7 linked regions of the Xenopus tropicalis genome follow. The protein of the gene in region 3 purifies or fractionates together with the protein of the main gene of each other region. This does not show direct contact. Links are inferred from orthologs where the notes say so. Each region holds a gene or a part of one and is shown on either strand. Other genes may lie near its edges. The genes, in order: stx6, stx8, stx7, snap23, vamp4, napa and snap29.

Region 1 (3,500 bases), on a different chromosome or scaffold from region 3:
TTGTGTCAGGCAGCATTGGTGTCCTTAAGAACATGTCCCAGCGTATTGGCAGTGAGTTGGATGAACAAGCCGTGTAAGTGTTATAGAAAAATCACAGAGAGGCGGGGTATAACACCTCGGATACATAAGGAAAGAAACGGTGAAACTATGTCCTTGGATTGCATAAATAATATGGGACACTAAATGAGCAAAGTTAATTTTCTTTTTCACTTACTTTCACCACCAGGTGGATCATTTAGTGGCATAGGTGCATGTTGTGCCATGACTGTAAGCCAGAGTAGCCAATTGGCAATAATGGGAATCGCTGGTGGGGAAACATATGTGGCTCAGCTACTTTCTGAAGGAGCCCAAAGTTGCCACGAGCAGCGGCGGATTTCTACTGGGGGTGCCCCAAGGCCCCCCCCGCCACGAGAACGCGCATGCGCGCACAAGCCCCACCCCCCCACGAACGCTAATACGCATGCGCCAAACTTAGAACTCCCATACGGAGCAGTGGGGAGATGTCCCCATTGCTCCGTATGGGAGCAAAATTTTAAAATTTGCCTGCGGCGGAGCGGCATGCCGCCCCTGTGTATGTGCCGCCCTTGGCCCGGGCCTTTGTGGCTTCACCACAAATCCGGGCCTGGCCAGGAGAGGCAACTTTAGGCTACTTCGCAAAACCGAAACTTCTCATATGCTTTCCCACCAGCAATTTATATTATTGCCTGTGGGGAAACATATGCAGGAGATAAGTCGCCCTCAGTAGAGAAGATCTATCACAGGCAGCTAATCACCTATTGTGTTATTGCCCTTTAAAGGGAAAATCAGGGCAATGCGGGAAATTAGCTCTTTTGTTATGTAAAATCTGTCACAACTTGTCCCATCCTTCCTCGGGCAAAATGCTGATGCACAGAATTGACACTAAGTTTGCACACACACCTATGCTAAAGATGTTCAAATTCACCTATTTTACAACTTCGCTTTTATCAGATTACCATACATTGCCTGTGTTAAATAGGGTATTTATTTATATTTTGTTTTTTTTTAAAAAAAAGTAATGGCTTGGATACCACTAGTATTTAGTGGCATTTCCTTTACATTTTTTAACTTGATTCAAACTCTTAGGGTAGCCTTCCACAAGCTTCTCACAACATATTGCTGGAATGTTTGCCCATTCCTTCTGACAGAACTGGCATAAGTGGGCCTTATTGATCTAACACTATTTTTCCTGTCCAATCACAAGTTTTTAATGGGATTCAGGTGGGGGCTTTGTTATGGCCATTCCAATACTTTCACTTTGCCTTTAGGCAGGCTATTTGGTTACAACTTTGGAGGTATGCTTTGGATCATTGTCATGCTGAAAGACAAAGTTGTGACCAAGCTTAAGTTCTGGCTGATGTGTTAAGGTGTTGCTACAAAATTTCTACATAACCCATTTTTTTCATAATGCCATTTATTTTCTGGAGTGCATTAGTCAATTTCCCAGCAAGAAAAAATAAACAAAACCCCAAAGCGTTATGCTGCCACCCCTGTGTTTCACAGTTGGAATGGTTCTTCAGGTTAACCTTCCTCCATGCATAGCGATGATCATTATGGCCAAGTTCTATTTTTGTTGTATCTAACAGGAGAACCCTTCTTTGTCCTGGTAAGGATCTTTAAATTTCAGACTGGCTTTTTTATCCTTGCCTATGAGTAGAGGACCCTCAGAGGGGTATGACAGTTAACCAAATGGTGCAATTATGTCTGTTTTGAGCAGTAACTTCATGGCTGGGCTTTACGTTAACAGTCAGAAACTTTCAATTTGCAACAGTTTTACAGTTTAACACCAGAATTCAATTGATATTTTTTTTTTTTATAGACACTGTTCTAATTTATACAGTATATAATGTGTTTCCTTTTATCTAATAAAGTTGCTTCTTAATTACCTTTGTAGAATGTTGGATGACTTTTCCCATGAACTGGATACTGCTCAGTCCCGCATGGATAATGTTCTTAAGAAATTAGCAAAGGTATCTCACATGACTAGTGGTGAGTATGAGCCATTTTGTTATGTTTTAGCAAGTAGACGCTCCTGTCAGGAGATATGTAGCAATACTGGGTGTGGCTCATCCTTGTAATTAGTTTTAGTAAACTTGTTTGCATTTTGGTCAAGAACAGAGTCAAGGTTAAGGTTTAAATGAAACCATCTGTTGGGATCCCACACGAAGTTTGTAATGCTCAGTCCATTATATGATTGCACAAGAAGTGATTACTGTTGAAAAAAAATGCCAGAACTGGCCTGTGACCAACATACTCAACACCATTTGCTAATCTTGAGTAGGATGGGGCCACACCTGTCAAGAACTTCAGTTTGCTGGCCCTCATTATATAGAGTGATCTGATTAGTACAGTTTGTCCAGCCATAGTAATAGGAAATGACAGCCAAAAGTCACCATCAGGAAAAGAATGCTGATTCAGTTTTAAAAAGAGTATTGGGGTGATTATGAAGCACTTTTCTTACACCCTAACACCTATAGGTGATATTATGTCACAGATATTCAAAGGAGAACTCTTCACTTGTATTGGATTTTTAGGGGCTTTATTGTTAAAGGCAGTATACCTCCTTGTTCAACATGAGTTCAATGAATAGGGCTTGTGATGAACATACTTTTTATCTGTTGTTTTAAACACAAAAATCTATTGTTTTTGTTATATCTTGAGCTAGACAGGGAGACTGGAGCTTTTTAGGGCTCTGGCACACGGGGGAGATTAGTCGCCCGCGATTAACTCCCTGTTCGCGGGCGACTAATCTCCCCCGTGTGCCAGAGCCCTTAATGTTTGTTCCTTGCAAGTTAAATAATTAGATTACCGGTGCATGGATAAACACCCTGCATAATGGACTCCTGCTAACAAAACAGTCACAACAGTTTGTGAAGGGAGTGGATTGTATACTGGTAATCTAATTGTGTCTTGAGAGGTTGTGTCTGCACTATTTAACTCAAGAAATAGCAAAACAACATGGATTTTTTGAGATTCAGACAATAGGCGTATCTTAAGCACCAACCCTATTCTTTGCACTAATGTTGAACAAGGGGAGTAGTACCCCTTTAAGGGTGAAAACACACTGAGCTACTAGTAGCAGCTTTTTCACGACTTCTAGACTTCAGAAAATACCTTGCCATAGACAATACTGAGAATTGCCTCTGCTAAAACACATAGAGACAATTATCAGTAAATGATCAGCATTGTCTATATTAGTAGCTGCTACTAGTAGCTCTGTGTGTCTTCACCCTAAGGGCCATGACATACGGGGAGATAAGTCGCGTTGCAAAACAAATCTGTTGTCGTGGGCGACTAATCTCCCCGCAATGCCATCCCACCGGCTAGAAAGTAAATCGCCGGTGGTATGGCATACGCGGCGCCGCGATTTACTGAAGTTGCCTTGAGAGGACACTTCGGCGACTTCAGCAAATCACGGCACTGCGTATGCCATACCACCCGCAATTTACATCCTAGCCAGTGGGATGGAATTGCAGGGAGAT
Region 2 (3,500 bases), on a different chromosome or scaffold from region 3:
CCCAATACCTGACTAGGGTTTACGGGCAGCCCCAATACCTGACTAGGGTTACGGGGCCGCCCCAATACTGACTAGGGTTACAGGGCCCCAATACCTGACTAGGGTTACAGGGCCGCCCCAATACCTGACTAGGGTTACAGGGCAGCCCCAATACTGACTAGGGTTACAGGGCAGCCCCATAGGGTTACAGGGCAGCCCCAATACCTGACTAGGGTTACAGGGCCGCCCCAATCCTGACTAGGTTACGGGGCCGCCCCAATACCTGACTAGGGTTACAGGGCCGCCCCAATACCTGACTAGGGTTACGGGGCCGCCCAATACCTGACTAGGGTTACAGGGCCGCCCCAATACCTGACTAGGGTTACAGGGCCGCCCCAATACCTGACTAGGGTTACAGGGCCGCCCCAATACCTGACTAGGGTTACAGGGCCGCCCCAATACCTGACTAGGGTTACAGGGCAGCCCCTATACCTGACTAGGGTTACAGGGCCCCCCCTATAAGCTGACTAGGTTACAGGGCCGCCCAATACCTGACTAGGGTTACAGGGCAGCCCCTATACCTGACTAGGGTTACAGGGCAGCCCCAATACCTGACTAGGGTTACGGGGCCGCCCCAATACCTGACTAGGGTTACAGGGCCGCCCCAATACCTGACTAGGGTTACAGGGCCGCCCCAATACCTGACTAGGGTTACAGGGCAGCCCCAATACCTGACTAGGGTTACAGGGCAGCCCCAATACCTGACTAGGGTTACAGGGCCGCCCCAATACCTGACTAGGGTTACAAGACCTGGGCATGGCGCCACATTCTGTGCCAGTGAAGGTGCGGGGAGTTGTAAAATGAAATCCATAAAGGACAATTACATGGGAAAAGCAGAATTAAAGGGAAAGTATCAGGGGGAGAGTAAGTTCTATTAATGACATGCGGTTTTAACCAGCCAATCCGTGTGCCAGACTGCGCGGTGCTCCCGGCTATACGGTCTCCGAAGCGAGAAGGATACATTTGGCGAGTGGATACCGACCGGAGCAACGATTCCTTCAACTGCCCGATCTTCCCACTGAGATTCTGCATCAGGGACCTGAGAGCAACATTAATCTGGGGGAGAAAGGAGGGAGTCAGTCACTGTATATATATATATTAGCACAGAGCAAAGCATGCTGGGAGGCATCTGTTAAAGGGGAAATTTGCACTCAGTAACCTCAGTCTTGTGTAAAATTGCCTAAAAGGGAAATAATGAGTGCTTCCCCTTTAAATGAACTTCAATAACAGGTTTTTATGGTTTTAGAAAGATTTATCTTTTTGTGCCGGAGCTCTCTGGTTTGACAGTTTTGCAGTATTGGGTTGCTAGGGTGCAACCTACCCTAGCAACCAGGCTGGGGTGTGAATGAGGGACTGGAAGATGAAATTGTCTGTTGGGTCAGTGACCCCCCCATATGAATGCTGGAAAGAAGCAGAACAAATAATTAAATAAACTATAGGAAATACATTGTACCTTCACTGGGTTTTCTCCATTCCGCAGGTACCGGTTCCGCTCGTGCAGTTTTTCGGCAATCTCCTGTGCCAGCTGGTATGTATCATCGTAGGTGGCCAACCTTTGGGCAAGGAACACTCAGGTTACGTGGCTAGAGACTCACCAATGGGGGGTAGAAGCGGCCTGGCTACACTGTGTAACAAGGGAGTTGCCCTACCACTTGCCTTGGCACTGTCACTACTGTAGCACTGATTTACCCCCAATACCCCTCAGGGGTAAACACGGCAGATTTATTGCAAACAAAGTGCCCCGAGGGGAACAAGATGTTTTTGCCCGACGTGCAGTTGTAAAACCAAAGGAAAAAACAAAAGGTGATTTGGCTGAAATTCCTCTTCCTGTGAGTGTTTCCATAACAAACAGCAGTGATTACATCGCGCGCATAAAACCTCTCTCCCCGGCCGACAGCACCGCAGCCAGCACTCACTGGGGTCTGTGCAGGGCTATGCCGAAGGTCAGAGTAATGGGCACACAGACTGGAATCTCCCCCTGGACCCACCGACTGGCTCATCCCTGATCCTGGCACCCCCAACAGACTGGGCCTCTCACCTGGCATACACAGACTGGCTTCTGACCCTGGCCTCTCACTACAGACTTGGGCTCTCCCTGACCCCTGGCACCACAAGAACTGGTCTCCCCCTGACTCTGGCACCAACAGACTGCTCTACCTGCACCTACACAGACTGGCATCTCCTGACCCTGGCACTCACACAGCTGGTCTCACCTGGCACGCACACAGACTGGCTCTCCACTGGCAACTACACAGACTGGATCTCACCTGACCTGGCACAACAGATGGCCTCTCCCTGGCACATCACACAGACTGCTCTCACCCTGCCATGGCAACCCACACGATGGCCTCTCACTGGGCACTACACAGACTGGCATCTCACCCTGACCCGTGGACACACAGATGGCTCTCACTGACACTGGCAGCTACTACAGACTGGCCTCTCACGCTGGACTCAAGACTGGCATCTTCACCTGACTGCACCCACACAGACTGCCTCTAGCCCTGGCACTGCCACAGACTGGCTCTCACCCTGGGGATAACAGACTGGCTCCTCACCCTTGGCACTACATCAGACTGGCTCTCCCCTGAACCCATGGCACCACAGACTGGCCTTTCCCTGACCCCTGGACACACAGACTGGCCTCTCCCCTGACCTCCTGGCACACACACAGACTGGCTCTCACCTGGCACTACACAGACTGGATCTCCCTGGACCTGGCACCACACAGACTGGCCTCTCACCCTGGGCCCACACAGACTGGCTCTCAACCCTGGACTACCAGACTTGCTCTCACCTGACCCTGGACCCCAGACTGGCTCTCCCCCTGGCACAGCACACAGACGGCATCTCACTGACCGCTGGCACCACACAGACTAGGCCTGTCACCTGATACACAGACTGGCATTCACCTGACCCTGGCACCCACACAGACTGGCCTCTCACCCTGACCCCTGGCACCCACACAGATGGCCTTCACCTGGCCTACACAGACTGGCCATCTCACCTGACCTGGGCACCAACACAGACTGCCTTCTCACACTGGCCCCACACAGACTGGTCCTCTCACCTGGCACTACAAGACTGGATCTACCACTGACCCTTGTGGCACCCAAAGACTGGGCTCTTCCTGGACGCATACAGACGGCCTCTCACCTGAACCCTGCACCACACAGACTGGCCTCACTCACCTGACCCCTGGACCCACACAGACTTTGGCTTCACCCTGACCCGGACCTCCAAGACTGGCCTCTTCCCCTGGACCCACACTAGCTGGCACCACACAGACTGGCTTCCCTGGCACCACACAGACTGGCACCCACCAAGATGGCTCTCCTGGCACCCACAGACTGGCACCACCAGCTGGCACCACACAGATGGCTACCCACCGCCTGGACCCACACAGACTGGCTCTAGACCCCTGGCAACCACACAGATGGCCCCCCAACAGCTGGCACCAC
Region 3 (3,495 bases):
TCAGTGGGCAAAATGCATATAATTGGCATAGTTGCCATTACTGCATTGCAGTTACTGCCAAAATCCAATGCAGCCGCTTCTGGGGAGCTCAAAGAAGAAAAGGGCATAGGCCATAGGGGGGCATAGGCCACAGGGGTTGGCATTTGAGAATGCTTATTTGCTTTCCTTTTTGTTACGACCCAGCTGATTTAGGGCAAGCATTTATTTGCTGGTTAAGAAATTTTTACAGCTGTAGAAGAGGGCTTGAACATAACAGGGCTAGTGTACATCCGCAAGTGCAGTTGCAGTCCCCACAATTCCCCTGCAGTCAGTTACACGTAACTCCATATAATTAAATGTACTTGCATCAAATTGCCTTTGGTGCTGCTCATCCTTCCTGCTTCCCATTTTGAATCATGTTCTGCTGCACCTATTGACACAGGAGAACCCTTGAGCTACTGCCACCTCCTGACCAGGTGGTAGCTCCAGGGTTCCCTTCGTGCCCAGTGTAAATAGGTGCAGTGCACTTGCGACTGAAGAATCCTATGCAGATGTAACTCACACACCAAACACCGGAAATGACAACAGACAGATTTCCACGCAATTGCATCTGATTTGTGGCAAAATGCCCAATTTAATGAATTGGACGCAACTGTGGTTGGTGCAGCACAATTGCATTAAGAGCATCACCACCCACATTGCACTTTGCTTAATGCACTTGCAGAATACATGAGCCCGATCGCTCAAAAACCATTTCCTTACCCCAACATTCTGTCTTATCTTTGGTTTCTGCATTTATTAATTTGACCACTAGAGAGCAGTCAGACATTTAAAAATTACAAGTACAGCTATAACGCAACAAATGCTTCTGTTACCAAATCTAATTTATTATTTATGCTTGTATGTCTGCATACAAGTTTTCTCCTATTTAGTTGTCTTCCAAAGGAAAAGTTTGAAATAGCATCTAAAATGCAGAAAATATATATTTTTGTCTTTAAATACACATTTACATTCTCACTTTTGGGGAGATTTATCAAAATGTGGGATTAGATCTCATCACATTCTTATTCATTCCTTTGGGATTTTTAGAAGTGTATTTATCAAATGGTGAACTCTTACCCACTGATAAATACACTTATTCACCCAATTTCTATGGGATTTAAGATTTCTGTGGCGAGCTTTAATTTTGAATTCAAAACTGCCCCTTTGAGTAAAGTGAAATATATATAAGTGGGGAAAAATGGAATTTTACCCAACGATAGAGAAAATTAACTTTCTTTGTCAAACATTTTCACTTAATGGGCACCTATCACCCTAAATTTGCTTCCCCCACCAAGTGCAGGCTAATAGAGCCCACTCTCTCTGGTTGGCTAAAACAATATTTTTTTTTTTTTTTTAGAAAAAGAATACCAGTTCCCCCCGTGCAATGCGCCCACACTTCAGGAATCACTTTTTACTCTAATCTAGAAGCCATGCATCATAGTTACAGTATATGAATTTTATATAGGGAGACTTTTAAAGGGATGTGATGACACTACTAATATTGCTAACGTAACATACTTAAAGGACTTAGCAAAAAAACAATGTATTTCTGCATCACTGTTAAAATAACTGCACATCTTGTGGATCTTATGTCTCTTGTGGTAGTTTTGTTGTTTATCCAGCGCTAAATATCAATTTGGTGCAACCTTAGGCTGGGCTGCCTGCTCACACCTAACTTTGAGCCTGCTCTCAAGCCACGCCCCATTTTCTTTCCCCTTGCTAGTATTCAAATGAGGAAGCTACACCAATTGAGCAGTCTATAAGTGTTTTGGCCCACATTCTACCACTTAGAACATGCCACTATAGCCCAGGCCTTCCCATATATTCTGCTTCTGCTTATACTTTTCTTATCACTTTCAGCAAAAGCACTGAAGGTTGTTCAATCATGCCCAGGTCACAGACTCGACTCTTGTTAAGCAGGTGCAATTATCTCCTGTGTAATCTGTAATAATGCTTTCTTGTACAGACAGTATAGAAGCCAATGTGGAAAATGCAGATGTCCATGTTCAGCAAGCAAACCAGCAGCTGGCCAGGGCTGCAGAATATCAGGTAGGCTTTGTGTTTGTTTCAAACAGCATTATAATTTGTGGGGCAGTGGCAAATGCCACTTGGAAATTGGAAAAGTGTGACATGGAAAATGCTTTATTTAATTATGGAGATTACCTGTTTTCTCTGTTTTAGGACAAAATAGACTTTTAGTGCTTTGATTGCCACATGGAACACAAGGAAGTATGTCCTGTGGCCCTTCATTTTTCAGCTGTCAGGTTGTGCTGAGAATTATAAGGTGGCCACACACGTGGCGATTTCCGATCTTTTGTGCGACCATCGGTCGCTAACCGTTCAGGGCTGAAACAGCAGATAAGGAGGTAGAAACAATAGGATTTCTACCTCCTTCTGCTGATTCAGCCCTGAAGGCAGATTTTGATCAGGCGCCTGATCAAAATCTTTTAACCCGGCCGATCGGCGAGTCGACCGATATCAGCAGCCTCCTGCGATATCAGTCAACTCGCCGACTTGCCATACACGCACCGAATATCGTACAAAATGGGTTTTCATACGATATTATCGGTGTGTGTGGCCAGCTATAGTTCTGCAACATCTGGAGCACTACTGTTCATATTCAGATCAGTCTAAATTCCCCCTGTCACTCAGTAACCAGTTAAGACCTTTTTTTATGGCTTTGCTTTGCATTACTAAAAGGGGATCCCTAGAATATGCACTCTAAAGGATATGGAAAGAGAGACACAGTGAGAAATGCAAAAAAAAAAACCAAAAAAACCTAGCTTTCTTTTTTGCACATTTTTTTTTTCTCACGATGAACTTTGTCATTTCAGTCATAGTTCTTTATATCTCCAGCATGGAGGACAAACTGTTACGCCCGACAATAAATTGTGCAAATAAGCAGAACTTTGGTGTGCTGACTGAATTATGTTATTTAAGCATTACTTAATATTTTAAGGTAAACCTGTAAATAAATGTAGTTGAAAATAACTGTATATTGCCATTTTTTTGTGTGTTGCAGAGAAAATCCAGGAGGAAGATTTGCATTATTATTGCAGTACTTGTTGTAGCTGCAACAGTCATTGGACTGATTATCTGGGGAGCTGTTAAACACTAATGGTATTTTTACATTTGAAGAAATATTTGTTATCACCTAATTTCTTTACTGCACGAGAAGAAAGGCACATTACTCTAATGATGAAGAAAAATTAATTGAATATCTTTTGCATTGTTATGGCAGTGCTTGCGTTCTTTGGCTATGCTCTATCAAAGATGAGCAAGTGGGGGCTATGCCTTGTTGTACAAAACTGATTGTTGGTTGGGTTTAGGTCTGACAAGGTGCAACCTAGAAAATACAGAGCCCCTGACTTTACAATTTGGGTGAAAATTTGGCTGCAGGAAAAAATCCTCAGCACCCAGTCAGTTGTTTTCTATGCTCTGGTTGCACTAAATGGATTAAGTTGATAATTGGTT
Region 4 (2,583 bases), on a different chromosome or scaffold from region 3:
TAATTTTCAACTTGTTTTTACCGTGTTTATGTAACAAAAAGGCACGTGATTTTAAGGATTCGGAACTGGTGCGGCCAGGAGCATGGATTCAGCCAAATCCAAATCTATCTTAAAAAATCTCCCAAATCTTGGTGCATTCCTACTCAAAATGCATCAAATAGTGCTGCTAAAAATGCACCCATGCCCCACCTAGTGGTAGGTATAATAACCCTAAAAAGCAAAAATCCAAGTCCAGCTCAGCAAATTCATGACTCCAGTTACATAGGAGAAACAAAAGGTTACTTGGAAGCAGGTCTAATGTGTAGCGCTGGCTCCTTCTGAAAGCTCAGACTCAGGCACAATGCACTGAGATGGCACCTACACACCAATATTACAGCTAAAAAAAAAAAAAAACGTTTTGGTACAAGAATAACATTTTATATGGTAGAGTAAATTATTTGCTGTGTAAACAATGTAATTTATAAATAAATGGATTCTGTCATGATTTTTGTGGTCTCCTTACTCCCCCCTGCCAACTTCTGGGTGTCTCCCCCTTCTCCAGAGACATAACCTATCTGGGAGGTTAGGGAAGGTTCGTATTTTAAATTCAAATTTGATTTTTATTTGAATACAAGTTTCTGGTTCCAGAGGGATATTGCACCTCTGATTTTTTTTTTTTTTTTTGTATCTTGGTGTCATGTTTTTTTAACAATTTCTGAATAGCAGTAGCAATGAATGATCCTGTCTAACAGACTTCACATCTTGGTAGGCCAAAGGATTTCGAGAGTGGGGAAAACTACAAAAAGACTTGGGGCAGTAAAGACAATGACTCAGAAAATGTGATATCAAAGCAACCTCATCAAACAAATGGACAACAGGGTGGAGTGGCACAGAGTGGTCCGTATATTAAGAGGTAAGAGAATATATAAAAGAATATACAATGTTTGATAGAGTAAATTGTATTCCTTACTGCATTTTGGCCATGCAGGAATGTAAAGGTACTAAGATTATATCTTGAATGGATAAGATTAGAAAGTTTGTCCTTAAGAGAAAATACATAAAAATAGCTAAATACCATTATTTTCCTTTTAAAGGAGAAGGAAAGGCTAATAAAGAGTTAATCTCAAGCTGCAGGCATACCTTCAGTTGTCTCAAGTCTCCCCATATTTCTCCCGTTCAGATGATCAGAAGCCAAACAGGAAGAAAAAATGCTGAGCTGTGTATAGAAAGTTCCCATAATGCCTCACCCCTGCACAGACGCCCAGACCAAGTGAACATGCTCTGTTAGTTATGAGTCAGCTTCCTGCTGATTGGCTCAGATTCATATTCCTAAGGGGGGGGATGAGTTCTTAGCATTCTTGAGGGAGGGGGAGCAGGAGAGAGCAGAGAGCGATGTGTCTCTGGCATAGGAAAACAGACACAACTAATATTTTAACAGAAAACTCAGTGCAGCATTTCTGTGAGTGCTTATAGCTGTATTTACATAGACCTTTCTGATAAAGCTTACTTAGTTTTTACCTTTCTTTCTCCTTTAAAACACTTTCGTTTTTACGTAACTGTTCCTTTAACAGTGAAAAAAGTAAAAAGCACAAAAATAGAACAATTACAGATGGTCTCAAACTAACTATTATCCTACTGCTCTTTATTTTCTCCTCATCTCATTCTTTTAGTTTTTTTTCCACTTTTTTATGCAGAAAACACAATATTGGGCTAGGAACCCAATACTTTACAGGGAAATATATTTTAAACCATGCTTTATTATTGGTGACTATTTACTCATTACTATCTAAACTTTAACTGAGCAAAGTGCCCCAGATGTCCTTCAGGCACATGCATATCTTAAAGGTATTCAAGGAATTCATAGGATTAATGTACAACTAAATACAGTAGATTTTGAAGTTTATATAAGTTTGCTGGGAATTATGCCCCCAAAGTCTGAAAGCAATAGAGTTGCCAAATTATTGGCCTGCGTACGGAGCCTTTAGGAGGGCCGCTCAACCAAAATCTTGCTAGTACCTATTGGGTTGATTTCAAATTCCCATTGGGTGAGAATCTTGGCATGTATGGCCATCTTACGTAAGGTAATGAACAGCTACTTGTGTGTATTGGGGGAGGGGGGTGGATTGCAAGTTTGATTCCAACCTGAGCATTGTCTCACTTTATAGATTTCTGGGGAAAGGTTTTTTTTTTCTGTCCAGGCAGAGTAAGTTCCTGGTTAATTGTTTACTGATAAAATTGGCTGTAGTGTATGTTAAGGGTGAAGACACACAGACGGTTATCAGTAAATGATCAGCATTATCTAGCTGCTGCTAGTAGCTCCATGTGTCTTCATGCTAAAACAATAGGGATTGTTGACTGCTAGCTCCACTGGGGCACTGATGTGAGTGATGTATAATCTCTGTAAAGTGCAGTGAAATATGTTGGCACTTTTTAAATAAAAGAATAATAATTATAAGCTCCAAAGGGCCTATCTCTGTAGGCAGAAGACACAGAAATGCCCTGGAAACATTGTAAGGTCACCATATGGCTTACATTTTGCAACATTTTATCTTCCTCATGTTCTTCATATTAATATTTGATCTTTAAAATGAATACAGTAGGTCT
Region 5 (4,007 bases), on a different chromosome or scaffold from region 3:
CCCATAGGGCTCAATGGCACTCTGCAGCTCCAACCCGACCCAAGGAAAGTCACGATACTGAAGCTTGAATGAATCCGAAACTTTCGTACTCGGCGCAACGGCTACGAAAAATCGCAACAATTCACGCAAGTCGTAACGCTACGAAAAAGTCGCGACAATTTGCGAAAAAGTCATAACGGCTACGAAAAAGTCGTGACAACTTACGAAAAAAATTGCAAAATACCGATCATTACGAAAAAAAGCATTCGGACGCTTTTCGGACGTTCGTGGATTAGTAAATGTGCCCCAAGGTGTTATAAATACACACAAGCAAACACATAACCTTGCACTAGGAGTAAGTGCCCTACAAAGGGACCAATAAACCCTATCTATGTAAATGTCTACTCTACAGTATAAGGGCAGTGGTACTTGGGGAGATTAGTCACCCCGCGACAAATCTTTGTTGTCGCGGGCGACTAATCTCCCCACAATGCCATCCCACCGGCTAGAATGGGTGGGATGGCACTGTGGGGAGATTAGTTGCCCACGACAACGAAGACGATACTACTTCAAATCGCTTAACGCTCTGAATCGATATGAGACCCTTTTTTGAGTGATTTTACAAAGAAAGCAATGTCATTAAAAACTACTGGAATCGCTGAAAGTAAAACCCACTGATGGAAGCTGCTGCGATTTCCCCATTGCACTGAATATAATTTCTAATTGTGGAATATGACACTTGGATTTGTGGGAAATAGAATTGCTCCATTGTTGTAATCGCTTGTTAGGAAAAGACAAGTGACTTGTTAAAAGCGACTCACTTTTTAAAAATCACAGCGACTAAATCTCCCCATGGGATATTAGCCTAAGAAAGAGACAATTTAAAATAAAATGAAAGAGCAAATATTTGTTCAATACTAAAAATAATGACAACATTTCTTTAATGTCTCTATTTCATCTTAAAAGATGTAATTAATACTTAAAAAAACATTTTGTACGGCGTTAATGAATACAAACAACGTCAAATCATTAATTTCAGTCCTACAATGGTGCTGGCAGGCTGGCTTCACACTGTGCCAGTGCGCTTGCGCATTGTGAGAACGCCGAACTCTAGATCATTCAGAGGGTTAAAGGGAACAGGACGGTGAATCGCGTTTCGAGCGATGGATGGTTTACAGTCAGCTGGAGCGCCATGTTAGCCAGTGAATAAGCTTAGAGCTGAGCATCGCTGGAGTCTCATCCGAACAGGTACAGGTCTGCCGCATCGGCTCTAGTTGGGAGGGATTCCCCCAATAGTGAACCGTCCGAATATATTACAGCTGCCAGTTTGTCTTGTGACAGTCACAGGCGGTGAGGAAGATGGCTCGGTCTTATTGTCTTCTTGTCAGTGGTTCCTCTTTACAAATCCCAGTGTTTGTGTTACTGTACTAAATACGAATTGCTACACACTTATGGCCACCTATTGCTTTACTTGTTAATTTATCTTCTATGTGTGTGTGTATGTATGTATATATATAATATATATATATATTATACACACACACAGTACTCAAGCCATGAATATCCAGTAAATTGATAGTGATAATCAGTGCTTAGTTCTAAAATTTGTGTCTTGCTGCGTTGTGCCACTATATGGTCATGAAACCTCCCATAACCTCTGATATCTTTATCATGTACAATAGAGGGTACATATATAGTCTCATTGACTGTCATAAGGATGATCTTGATGACAACTTTGTATAGATTGGAACACGTAGAACTTTTAAAGGGGTTGTTCACCTTAAAATTAACTTTTAAGTATGACGTGGAGATTTATATTTGCATTTGGTCTTAATTTTTATTATTTACGGTTTTTTAATTAATTTGCTTTTTGCGAAGCAACTCTTCAGTTTGGAGTTTCAGCACCTATCTGGTTGCTTTGATCTTAGTTACCCTAGTAACCAGGCAGTGGTTTGAATTAGAGACTGGAATATGAACAGGAGAGAACGTAACTAGGAAGATAAGTAATGAAGAGAATGACAATAAAATTGTAGCCTCACAGAGCAATAGTTTTTGACAGACAGGGTCAGTGACAGGCCCGGACTGACGATATGTGGATTCTGGTAAATTCCAGAGGGGCTGCTGTAAGATACCATAGACAGTCACTATTGGGCTGGTGGGGGCTGTTTGGGCCTTTTGTGTACTTGAATTGGCCAGGCCTATTTTGAATCCCAGATCAGACCTGGTCAGTGACCCCCATTTGGAAGCTTTAGAAGAAGAAGCCAAATAATTCAAAAACGATACAAAATAACAAATGAAGACCAGCTGAAAAGTTGCCAAGTATTGATCATTTTATAACATAATAAAAGTTAACTTGAGGTGAATCACTCTTTAACTTCACTGGATTACTTAAATAACATGCAAAAATAAGTGCTTTTGTATTGTGACTGTATATAGTAAGCATCCGGCTGGATACTTCAGAATTATTGGAGTGTGTCTGGATGGGATGGAGATAAATAAAATGTTAGGCACCCCCATTGATTGTAATCATTTACCTGATACCCCAGCCGGTGCTCCTGTTTGGAGAAAACTGCAGTGGCCTTGGGTATATGTGAGCGAGTGTTCCTTTTCCTTTTATCTTCTTTCTTCGGAATCCAGGGGCCGAAGCATGCTCAGTTGAATGAAAAAGCCAGCTATTTTGTTAAAGCCGGCTTTTTACTCTACTGCACATGTGCAAAGAAGAAGGAACGCTCGCTCGCATACACCCTGGCCACTGCAGTTTTCTCCAAACAGGAGCACCGGCTGGGGGTTTCAAGTAAGCGATTGAAGTCACTGAGGGGAGGGGGGCTGCCTAACATTTTGGCACCCCCAAGTGATTGTAACTTTCCTTCTCCTTTAGGGCCGTGGCAGACGGGGAGATTATTCGCCTGCAACAAATCTCCCTTGTCGCGGGCGACTAATCACCCCGATATGCCACCCCATCGGCTTAAATGTCAATCGCCGGTGGTATGGCATATGCGGTGCCGCAATTTCCCAAAATTGCGGAAGTTTCCTCTCAAGGCAAACTTAAGGCCCTTAATGTTCATAATTGCGGTAGCACCTTATTCAGGCGCCGAAAATGCAGTACAGAGAAAAATAGCTTTTATAGGCCCCTTTCCTTAGCACCAGCTCCAGAGCAGAGCAGAACAGGACAGAGCCTCGGGTAATACATTTTTGAACAGTAGAATGCAAGAATTATTTTTTAGGTTTTTGCTGAACTCGCAGCTATGTTCTTGCCCCTGTGTATAATTCTACATTGTGTTCTTTTTCCTTGTAAATGCAGAATCATGGTGTAATGGGGTGGGGTGGGGGGGGGGGGGGTTGTTAGCTCTGGAAGGAAATGTATATGTGAATATTTTCATTTCTTTTTATGTAACTGGCAGTTTAGTCTGCTTTTTTCTTTATATGCCAAATATTAGCCAAGACTTAAGACTTATTATCTTTATTATTTTGTGTCCCTGGCAGTTTATTATTGGCAGCTTGTATTTTTAATTTCAAACCTAGTTGGTTGAGAAAGAAAAAAGCAGCTCTTTGTTTTATATTTATTGACCAGGTTTTAGGGGCAGCTGGGTCTCTTCATCAGACATTCCTTTAAACCATGGAGAATTATCTGTTTCAGCCAATAAAATAACCATATAAATGCCAGTATTTCCCTTTCGAAAAGGTGAGACAGTTATTCCAAAAATGCTTATATATCATGCATGTTAAGCAATCCTGCCCAGTGCACAAAGGTTTCCATCACTGTGCAGATTCTTTGTCCTATAATAGTTAATTGGAAATTATGTAGAAATAACCTGTATATGTGTGCATGGGAACTAAAGTTCTCAGCCCTTAATTTCAGCAAGAAAAAAAAATCACTAGTTTGTCAGTGCATAACATTTCTGTAAAACTTCTCAAGTCCAAATGTAATAAATAATACCTCCAGATTACATGGGCATAATGTTTACCCTAGAATGCGCCAATTCCTTAATTTTGGGGTTTTTTTCTTAAAGGTAATCACATGTTGTGGG
Region 6 (4,000 bases), on a different chromosome or scaffold from region 3:
TACTTACTGCTCCTTTTTTAAAAAAAATAAGCTTGGTGAGTCCCTGACTGTAACAAAGGTGTTTATTAATAATGAATATTAATTATTTATTAAGAATTAATAAACACTTGTTACAGTCAGGGACTCACCAAGCTTATTTTTTTTAAAAAAGGAGCAGTAAGTAGAGCTTGTACAGTAGTAGATAAAGGCACAGCAGCACCAGCGTAACTTTTGTGACCCACGACCTGAGCAGCACCAGCACCCACAACAAATAAAAAAGTGCAGGAAGAAGCTGTGAAGATCCAAAGACAGCAGTGACAGAAGGAGCCAAGGAAACCCAAAGGAAGACAAAAAGACCTGAAGACGAGCAGGACACTTAAAAGACACAGCAGGACATTTCAGTAAGTATCTGGGACAGCGGGACAATGTGCAAAAATGGGACATCTGGGGGTGTGGCCATATAGTGGGCGTGGTCAAGAAAAATTTCGCCGCGCTTAGCGCTGCAAAATATTTTGTCCCTCTTTTTCATTTTCAAATGTTGGGAGGTATGAGCAGTTTATATTAAACTCATTGCCAGGCACGTTAAGCAGTTTGGGTTATTCTTTACTGCCTTTCCTTAACTTGGCCTTCAGGTCATTAGTAAAGTATATAGTTGGTGGTGCACCAATAAGCAAAAAAAACTGTTTCCTGGACCTTTAACCTCTACCGCATTTATGCTTAGAGAGCAGAGAATGGTAACATGGAGTTACTGTAATAAGCAGTATTAGCTGAATCAGAACAAAGGCTGCCCCCTTACTAATAATGTTAACGCCAGGGTAGTAAAAATGATGCCTCGTTCCAAACATTGCCAATAGCGAGGCAAAAAGCTAAAAACAAACAAACCCGGAAGACCACTGTTTTTTTTAATATGAAATGCAACACTACACGAAGATAAGGACAACTAAAACATAAAAAAGATCATATGTAAAAAAATGATAATGTAATAGAAAACAACGCACTACAGTCTGTATTATTTTTAAAAAGGAGTACACATCTTTCCCTTTAAATGCCGCTCAGAAAAAGCCTAACTACATCTTCTGACTGTGTCTAGGCGGATGTGAATGCTAACGTTTGGTCACGTGGCACGGATATTGGCGGAAACAGAATAATCATGTGTTCTGCGGGCGGAAGTTTTGCTGTCACTGAAGCATAGCTGCTGATCCGGAGAAATACTAAGCGCAGTCATTATTTGCCTGCAAAATCAGGTCAGCGTCCCGCACACTGTTACAATTCTTTCCCTTCTGCTTGCCCTATTCTTCTGCTCTCTGATTCCCGATTATCTCCCTCGGCCGTCTCTCGGTTCAAGGGTTTTTGATCCCTGGCCTCTGCCTCCTGTTTGTCTCTATCCGCGAGTATCCTCGTATTACTAGCTCGTCGGCTTTCTACGAGGCCTTTCACTCATTTGCAGAGCTTTTTCTTGGCTGCCTGCCTCCTAGTTCTGGTTAGCGCTCTGAATCGGCTAACATCTTGCGGTAATAGAAAAACTTTAATAGATTAACTACTTTCCTAAAATGTAATTCCAGGCCCATGTTACAATGGCTGATTCTATGGTCTCTGATCTAATACCGGGGAATTTTTCTGAATTTATAGATATTTTCTTTTTTATAATTTATATTGGCATCTATTTTCCATATTTTCTGATTGTTATTATCATTGACAGGCCCCATTCAACCATGGATAACTCTGGGAAGGAGAAGGAGGCTCTGCAGCTTCTGGCTGAGGCTGACAAGAAGGTGAAGTCATCGCAGTCATTCTTTTCAGGGCTGTTTGGGTAAGTGAATTAGAAATAATTACATGGTAACAGGGCAAAATCTGTTTCTGACCAAAAGCATTGAACTGTCACTAGTGTTAGTAATATTAAGCATTTACAACGCTGTAGCTGTCACTACACAAAGCATTTTACATTTTGTTAATCTTATAACTTGAATAGTGTGTAATCTTTGTCTGTTTGTCTGCATTTAAGAGGCTCCTCTAAAATGGAAGAAGCATGCGACCTCTATGCCAGGGCTGCCAACATGTTTAAGATGGCCAAGAACTGGAGTGGTAGGTAGTATGTAATCTGTAAAATCATTTGTAACAAACTTTCCATATATCCATATATAGGTATATAGATATTTATACTCCTCGGAATAGTGCAATAAGATGCTCTTCTTCTTTTTCCCAGCTGCTGGCAATGCCTTCTGCCAGGCTGCCCAGATCCATCTTCAGGTTCAAAGCAAGCATGATGCAGCCACTAACTTTGTGGATGCTGGAAATGCATTCAAGAAATCTGACCCCCAGGGTAAGAGAGGTCCTAGTTGTCTCTTGAATGAGTCTTTTTTTTTTTCAAAGTTATCTATCAATAACTGTTTGTACCAGCACCCAGTGTTCCCCTTTGATTTGTTTTCGGTCATATGCACAAAGATAACATATTTATATCAGTTATGTGCACAGAAATGTGGGTTGTTGTAATAACTAAGTGTAAATAAGTGTTTTGCACAAAAGTGTTTTTTGTCTATTGTGGCAATACCCCCACAATGATAGCTCCAAGAAGAATAAAATGCAGAGACCCCCCTCCTCCCCCGTCTTGATGCTCCTGAATACAGTGCTCCTCACCTGTAACTGTTAATAATAGACAAAATAGACCGGTGTGATTTGCAGCATTTTTTTACTATCAAAGCAATCCTAGCACTGGTCGCCAAATGCAAACAGGCACATTTCAAGCTGATCTGATATTGTCTTGACCAGAGAATGCCATGCACAGCCAGGCACATGAATATATTCTTATATATTCATCTTGAATATGAAATGCCAGGTGATTTTAGGCCTTATTTTATTAGAGGTATTTTATTAAATGAAATAAAGGCTTTTCTGCAAGAATACATAAAGCAATGCTTAACTTTTTCAATAATAACTTTGATAAATGATCACAAGTATCTATATTGTTTTCAGAGGCAATTAACTGTCTGCTTCGAGCAATAGAGATCTACACTGACATGGTAAGGACAATTTCAAACTATCTTCCGCTTTTTTTTGGTCTTTATCACTTCTTAAGTTGACCACAAACAGAGTGACAATGCGAATATGGCTAAAAGAACGCAAGATGTTTAGTAAGATATTTGTTGACTAAGGATCAAGGTGTGTTTAAATGCAGTTTGTAGAGAATGATACATATGTGTTTGGGAAATGGGCAATAGAATTGTTATGGAAACAAGTGGGTTTTTTTTTAGTCAGAAAGTAGCAGGGAACAAAAAAAATGCTCTTCTAATGAATGTTCGGATATCGATCATACGTTTAAATGCAACGATCTAAAACTAACATTCAGACTGAAATTGTAGGATAAAGCTCTAAAAATAAATTGGAGGATGTTCTGAACATGAAATAGTAGGCAGACATCAATAATGCAAAAGTGAGGGCAGGCAGTACCCTTCTGAACAAACTCTATGCCAGGTGGCAACAGGATCTCCCCCACATTACACTTGAACTGTGGGAGGAGGTGTTGGAGTCAACCTTTGATGCTGTAATTAGGGATACACCCCACCGTTACAAATATTAAACCAGGAGCTCCCACAAGAGTGCCCCAGATGTCGTTTTTCACCATCTGACTTTATCCAGCTGTTGTGGCCTGTGTGCAGCACTTCTGGGAGGAAGTGGCAAAATATATACCCGGTAGAATGGATATCTGGTATATGCTCAGTCAGGTTCAAGAGCTGTCCCCCCTCATAGAGAAAAAAAAAATGTAAATGTCCATTTTATGTATGTATGCAAAAAAAAAAAAAAAAAAACCCACAGAAAAATTGCACAATTCTTAAAGACACCTGGTGGGCCAACTGTGGCAGCATGAGAAGCTATGGTGGAGGGAGCCATTCCCCTGTATCCCCTGCATAGGCGGTCCTCAAAGATTTGATGTTTGTTGTTGGGTTTTATGTTGAATTTTCTTGTTTATGTTTAGGTTTATTGTAAAATGAGCATCCTATTCATCTGGTTTTTTTTATGATGTTGC
Region 7 (2,177 bases), on a different chromosome or scaffold from region 3:
TATAGGCTCTGAGGATCATTAACTACCAATCCTACATTTACTATTATCAGTATTACAATTGCTTTTTAAATTACTGAAATGTGTGCCTTTGCCCTAATGGGGTAACCCAGTGTCTTTTTACATAATAACACTGAAAGGATTTGTGTGGTATAAGACTGGGAGTGAAATAATAAGAGAGCTGCTCTTCAAATACCCCTTTGGCCTGTCTACAAAACCATTATGACTGCTAAAGTGATACTGACACGAAAAAAAAACTTTTTAAAATATAAATCTACATAAAAAGTTGCCTATAGGTCGTGTTGATCATTTTTTACTGATAGGGCTGCTTTTGTAAGTAATTGTTACTTGAAATCCCAAAACCTGACTGTTTTGCCAGCCTGACTGTCCCTTCTCAGCCTGTCAGTTATAGCTTCTAATGCTAACGGCCTCCTGCTGGACAAATATGGCCGCCCCCTCATAGAGGAACATGGGGGATCAGATAGGGAATGTAAAAGCTTGGACAAATACTTTTATGGCAAAATTATAAATAGCATGCAAAGACAATGTTATGACAGATGTAAAAATAATTTCATTTCTGGTGTCAGTATCTCTTAACAAATACTTCCTGTTTTGGCATATCTTTCATAAACAGTTTGGAGGATTGCGACTCTAATTACCAACCAACTAATCACATTAAGAATCTATTGGGAAAGAAATAGGCTCCCAACAGATTTTAATGACTGATTCTAGGCATCAAGGCTACCATTTATAGATGACCTGGTTAAAGCTAAATGACAAGGTGTAACCCATACACCGTATTTTTTTTTTCCATACCTACTAATATTGCTGCATTTTAAAAATAATAATACTAATCCTAAGGTTGTGTTATTCCTTTCTTCCAGATGACATGTCTTTAGGTTTGGGTCGCCTGAAAAACCTTGCACTAGGACTTCAGACAGAAATCGATGACCAGGATGAGATGCTTGGGCGCCTAACTGGCAAAGTAGATAAGATGGACTTAAACATCAAGACTACAGACAAGCGGATTCGCGAAGAGCTATAAAAGACAAATTTCAGACTTGACCAAGACCGACTCTTGAGTTTTATTCTTGTGGTTTTTATAATGTTATGCAGTTTTTTTTTTTTTTGTTTTTTTTTATACTGGGACATAAATATCCCACACATCCCTATCTGAATCTTATATCTTCTGTATAACTATACATTACATTCGTTAGCATTAAATGTAGATGATGTTTTGCAGTATTATTACTAATATAGATCCTTATTAAGATATAAAAATGAATTGTCTTACTATTGGAATTGTATTGTAGTGATTGGCAGTTTGTTATAGCTCTGGATCTGAATAAAGTATTTGAGTTCATTTGCTAGGTATTACCTTACTGCTATATGACAGAATAGACATATGAACATGCCTTTATTAAAACTGCAATATTTTACACATGCTCGTAACATAGGGTTTAATGGGCCCTGCCATATGCCACTTTCTTATTACCCTTATTATTTTAATCTAGTGTTCTGAAACTTTGTGTATAAATATGTTTATAAATTTATGTGACACTCCCGTAAACCATACTGTGAATATTTTATCAGTTTACTTGTTAAGTTAAAAAAAAAAGCCTAATAATCTTGCCTGTTATTATTTTAACTAACTTGTTTAATATATTATTTGCTTTCTGATTTTGTGCCATTTGTCTTCTTTAGACAAATTTGAGTCTGTAGACTTGTTTCTCTGCCTGACATTTCAGATAATTTATTCATACTCCCTTATACTTATTAAATGTTTTGGACATAGTAATCCTTATTTCCCCTTTTGTATTATTAGCACACTTGGGCATATTTTAAAGCTGTGTAAAATATTACATGAGCAATAACACCATGCACCCTTGTAACTATCAATTACAAAGTTGTAATCATAATCAAAACGGGGCACATGTGCTTCAGATAAAATCAGTGGTAAAGAATTTATAGCAGCTGTTGAAGGCAAATGTGCCTAGCTTTTTAGTAGCTGTACATTAACATATATACTGTATATCTTTAAGCAGTACAAGCTATGATAACATCTGAGCCTGTGTTTCACTGTCAAATGCATATATGTTTGAGGGCGTGTTTAAAAAGGCCACTTTGCATACTAGACTGAGAAGTAGCACAATAATCTTGTACAGCAGCATTTTTACCTA

What was found.
Region 1: the proteins of stx7 (region 3) and stx6 purify together in Homo sapiens (affinity purification with mass spectrometry; 3 studies listed by BioGRID and IntAct, counting the BioPlex papers as one, with this or other methods). This does not show direct contact. The link is inferred for Xenopus tropicalis from reciprocal best matches to the Homo sapiens genes STX7 and STX6.
Region 2: the proteins of stx7 (region 3) and stx8 purify together in Homo sapiens (affinity purification with mass spectrometry; 5 studies listed by BioGRID and IntAct, counting the BioPlex papers as one, with this or other methods). This does not show direct contact. The link is inferred for Xenopus tropicalis from reciprocal best matches to the Homo sapiens genes STX7 and STX8.
Region 4: the proteins of stx7 (region 3) and snap23 purify together in Homo sapiens (affinity purification with mass spectrometry; 3 studies listed by BioGRID and IntAct, counting the BioPlex papers as one, with this or other methods). This does not show direct contact. The link is inferred for Xenopus tropicalis from reciprocal best matches to the Homo sapiens genes STX7 and SNAP23.
Region 5: the proteins of stx7 (region 3) and vamp4 purify together in Homo sapiens (affinity purification with mass spectrometry; 3 studies listed by BioGRID and IntAct, counting the BioPlex papers as one, with this or other methods). This does not show direct contact. The link is inferred for Xenopus tropicalis from reciprocal best matches to the Homo sapiens genes STX7 and VAMP4.
Region 6: the proteins of stx7 (region 3) and napa purify together in Homo sapiens (affinity purification with mass spectrometry; 4 studies listed by BioGRID and IntAct, counting the BioPlex papers as one, with this or other methods). This does not show direct contact. The link is inferred for Xenopus tropicalis from reciprocal best matches to the Homo sapiens genes STX7 and NAPA.
Region 7: the proteins of stx7 (region 3) and snap29 purify together in Homo sapiens (affinity purification with mass spectrometry; 3 studies listed by BioGRID and IntAct, counting the BioPlex papers as one, with this or other methods). This does not show direct contact. The link is inferred for Xenopus tropicalis from reciprocal best matches to the Homo sapiens genes STX7 and SNAP29.

The regions. Positions count from the first base shown.
Region 1 is NC_030680.2:100,861,717-100,865,216, forward strand, and holds part of stx6 (syntaxin-6), read left to right. Parts: coding exon 1-73; intron 74-1,912; coding exon 1,913-2,007; intron 2,008-3,500. UniProt on the Homo sapiens protein: SNARE promoting movement of transport vesicles to target membranes. Targets endosomes to the trans-Golgi network, and may therefore function in retrograde trafficking.
Region 2 is NC_030686.2:49,420,489-49,423,988, reverse strand, and holds part of stx8 (syntaxin-8), read right to left. Parts: intron 1,593-3,500; coding exon 1,493-1,592; intron 1,096-1,492; coding exon 1,001-1,095; intron 1-1,000. UniProt on the Homo sapiens protein: Vesicle trafficking protein that functions in the early secretory pathway, possibly by mediating retrograde transport from cis-Golgi membranes to the ER.
Region 3 is NC_030681.2:70,289,802-70,293,296, reverse strand, and holds part of stx7 (syntaxin-7), read left to right. Parts: intron 1-1,987; coding exon 1,988-2,070; intron 2,071-3,043; coding exon 3,044-3,139; 3' UTR 3,140-3,495. UniProt on the Homo sapiens protein: May be involved in protein trafficking from the plasma membrane to the early endosome (EE) as well as in homotypic fusion of endocytic organelles. Mediates the endocytic trafficking from early endosomes to late endosomes and lysosomes.
Region 4 is NC_030684.2:105,560,974-105,563,556, reverse strand, and holds part of snap23 (synaptosomal-associated protein 23), read left to right. Parts: intron 1-748; coding exon 749-892; intron 893-2,583. UniProt on the Homo sapiens protein: Essential component of the high affinity receptor for the general membrane fusion machinery and an important regulator of transport vesicle docking and fusion.
Region 5 is NC_030680.2:107,501,334-107,505,340, forward strand, and holds the start of vamp4 (vesicle-associated membrane protein 4), read left to right. Parts: upstream 1-1,207; 5' UTR 1,208-1,227; intron 1,228-3,555; exon of another isoform or gene 3,556-3,661; intron 3,662-4,007. UniProt on the Homo sapiens protein: Involved in the pathway that functions to remove an inhibitor (probably synaptotagmin-4) of calcium-triggered exocytosis during the maturation of secretory granules.
Region 6 is NC_030684.2:79,897,338-79,901,337, forward strand, and holds the start of napa (alpha-soluble NSF attachment protein), read left to right. Parts: upstream 1-1,200; 5' UTR 1,201-1,223; intron 1,224-1,233; exon of another isoform or gene 1,234-1,490; intron 1,491-1,678; 5' UTR 1,679-1,691; coding exon 1,692-1,789; intron 1,790-1,981; coding exon 1,982-2,061; intron 2,062-2,182; coding exon 2,183-2,299; intron 2,300-2,949; coding exon 2,950-2,996; intron 2,997-4,000. UniProt on the Homo sapiens protein: Required for vesicular transport between the endoplasmic reticulum and the Golgi apparatus. Together with GNA12 promotes CDH5 localization to plasma membrane.
Region 7 is NC_030677.2:153,633,264-153,635,440, reverse strand, and holds the end of snap29 (synaptosomal-associated protein 29), read left to right. Parts: intron 1-881; coding exon 882-1,042; 3' UTR 1,043-1,677; downstream 1,678-2,177. UniProt on the Homo sapiens protein: SNAREs, soluble N-ethylmaleimide-sensitive factor-attachment protein receptors, are essential proteins for fusion of cellular membranes.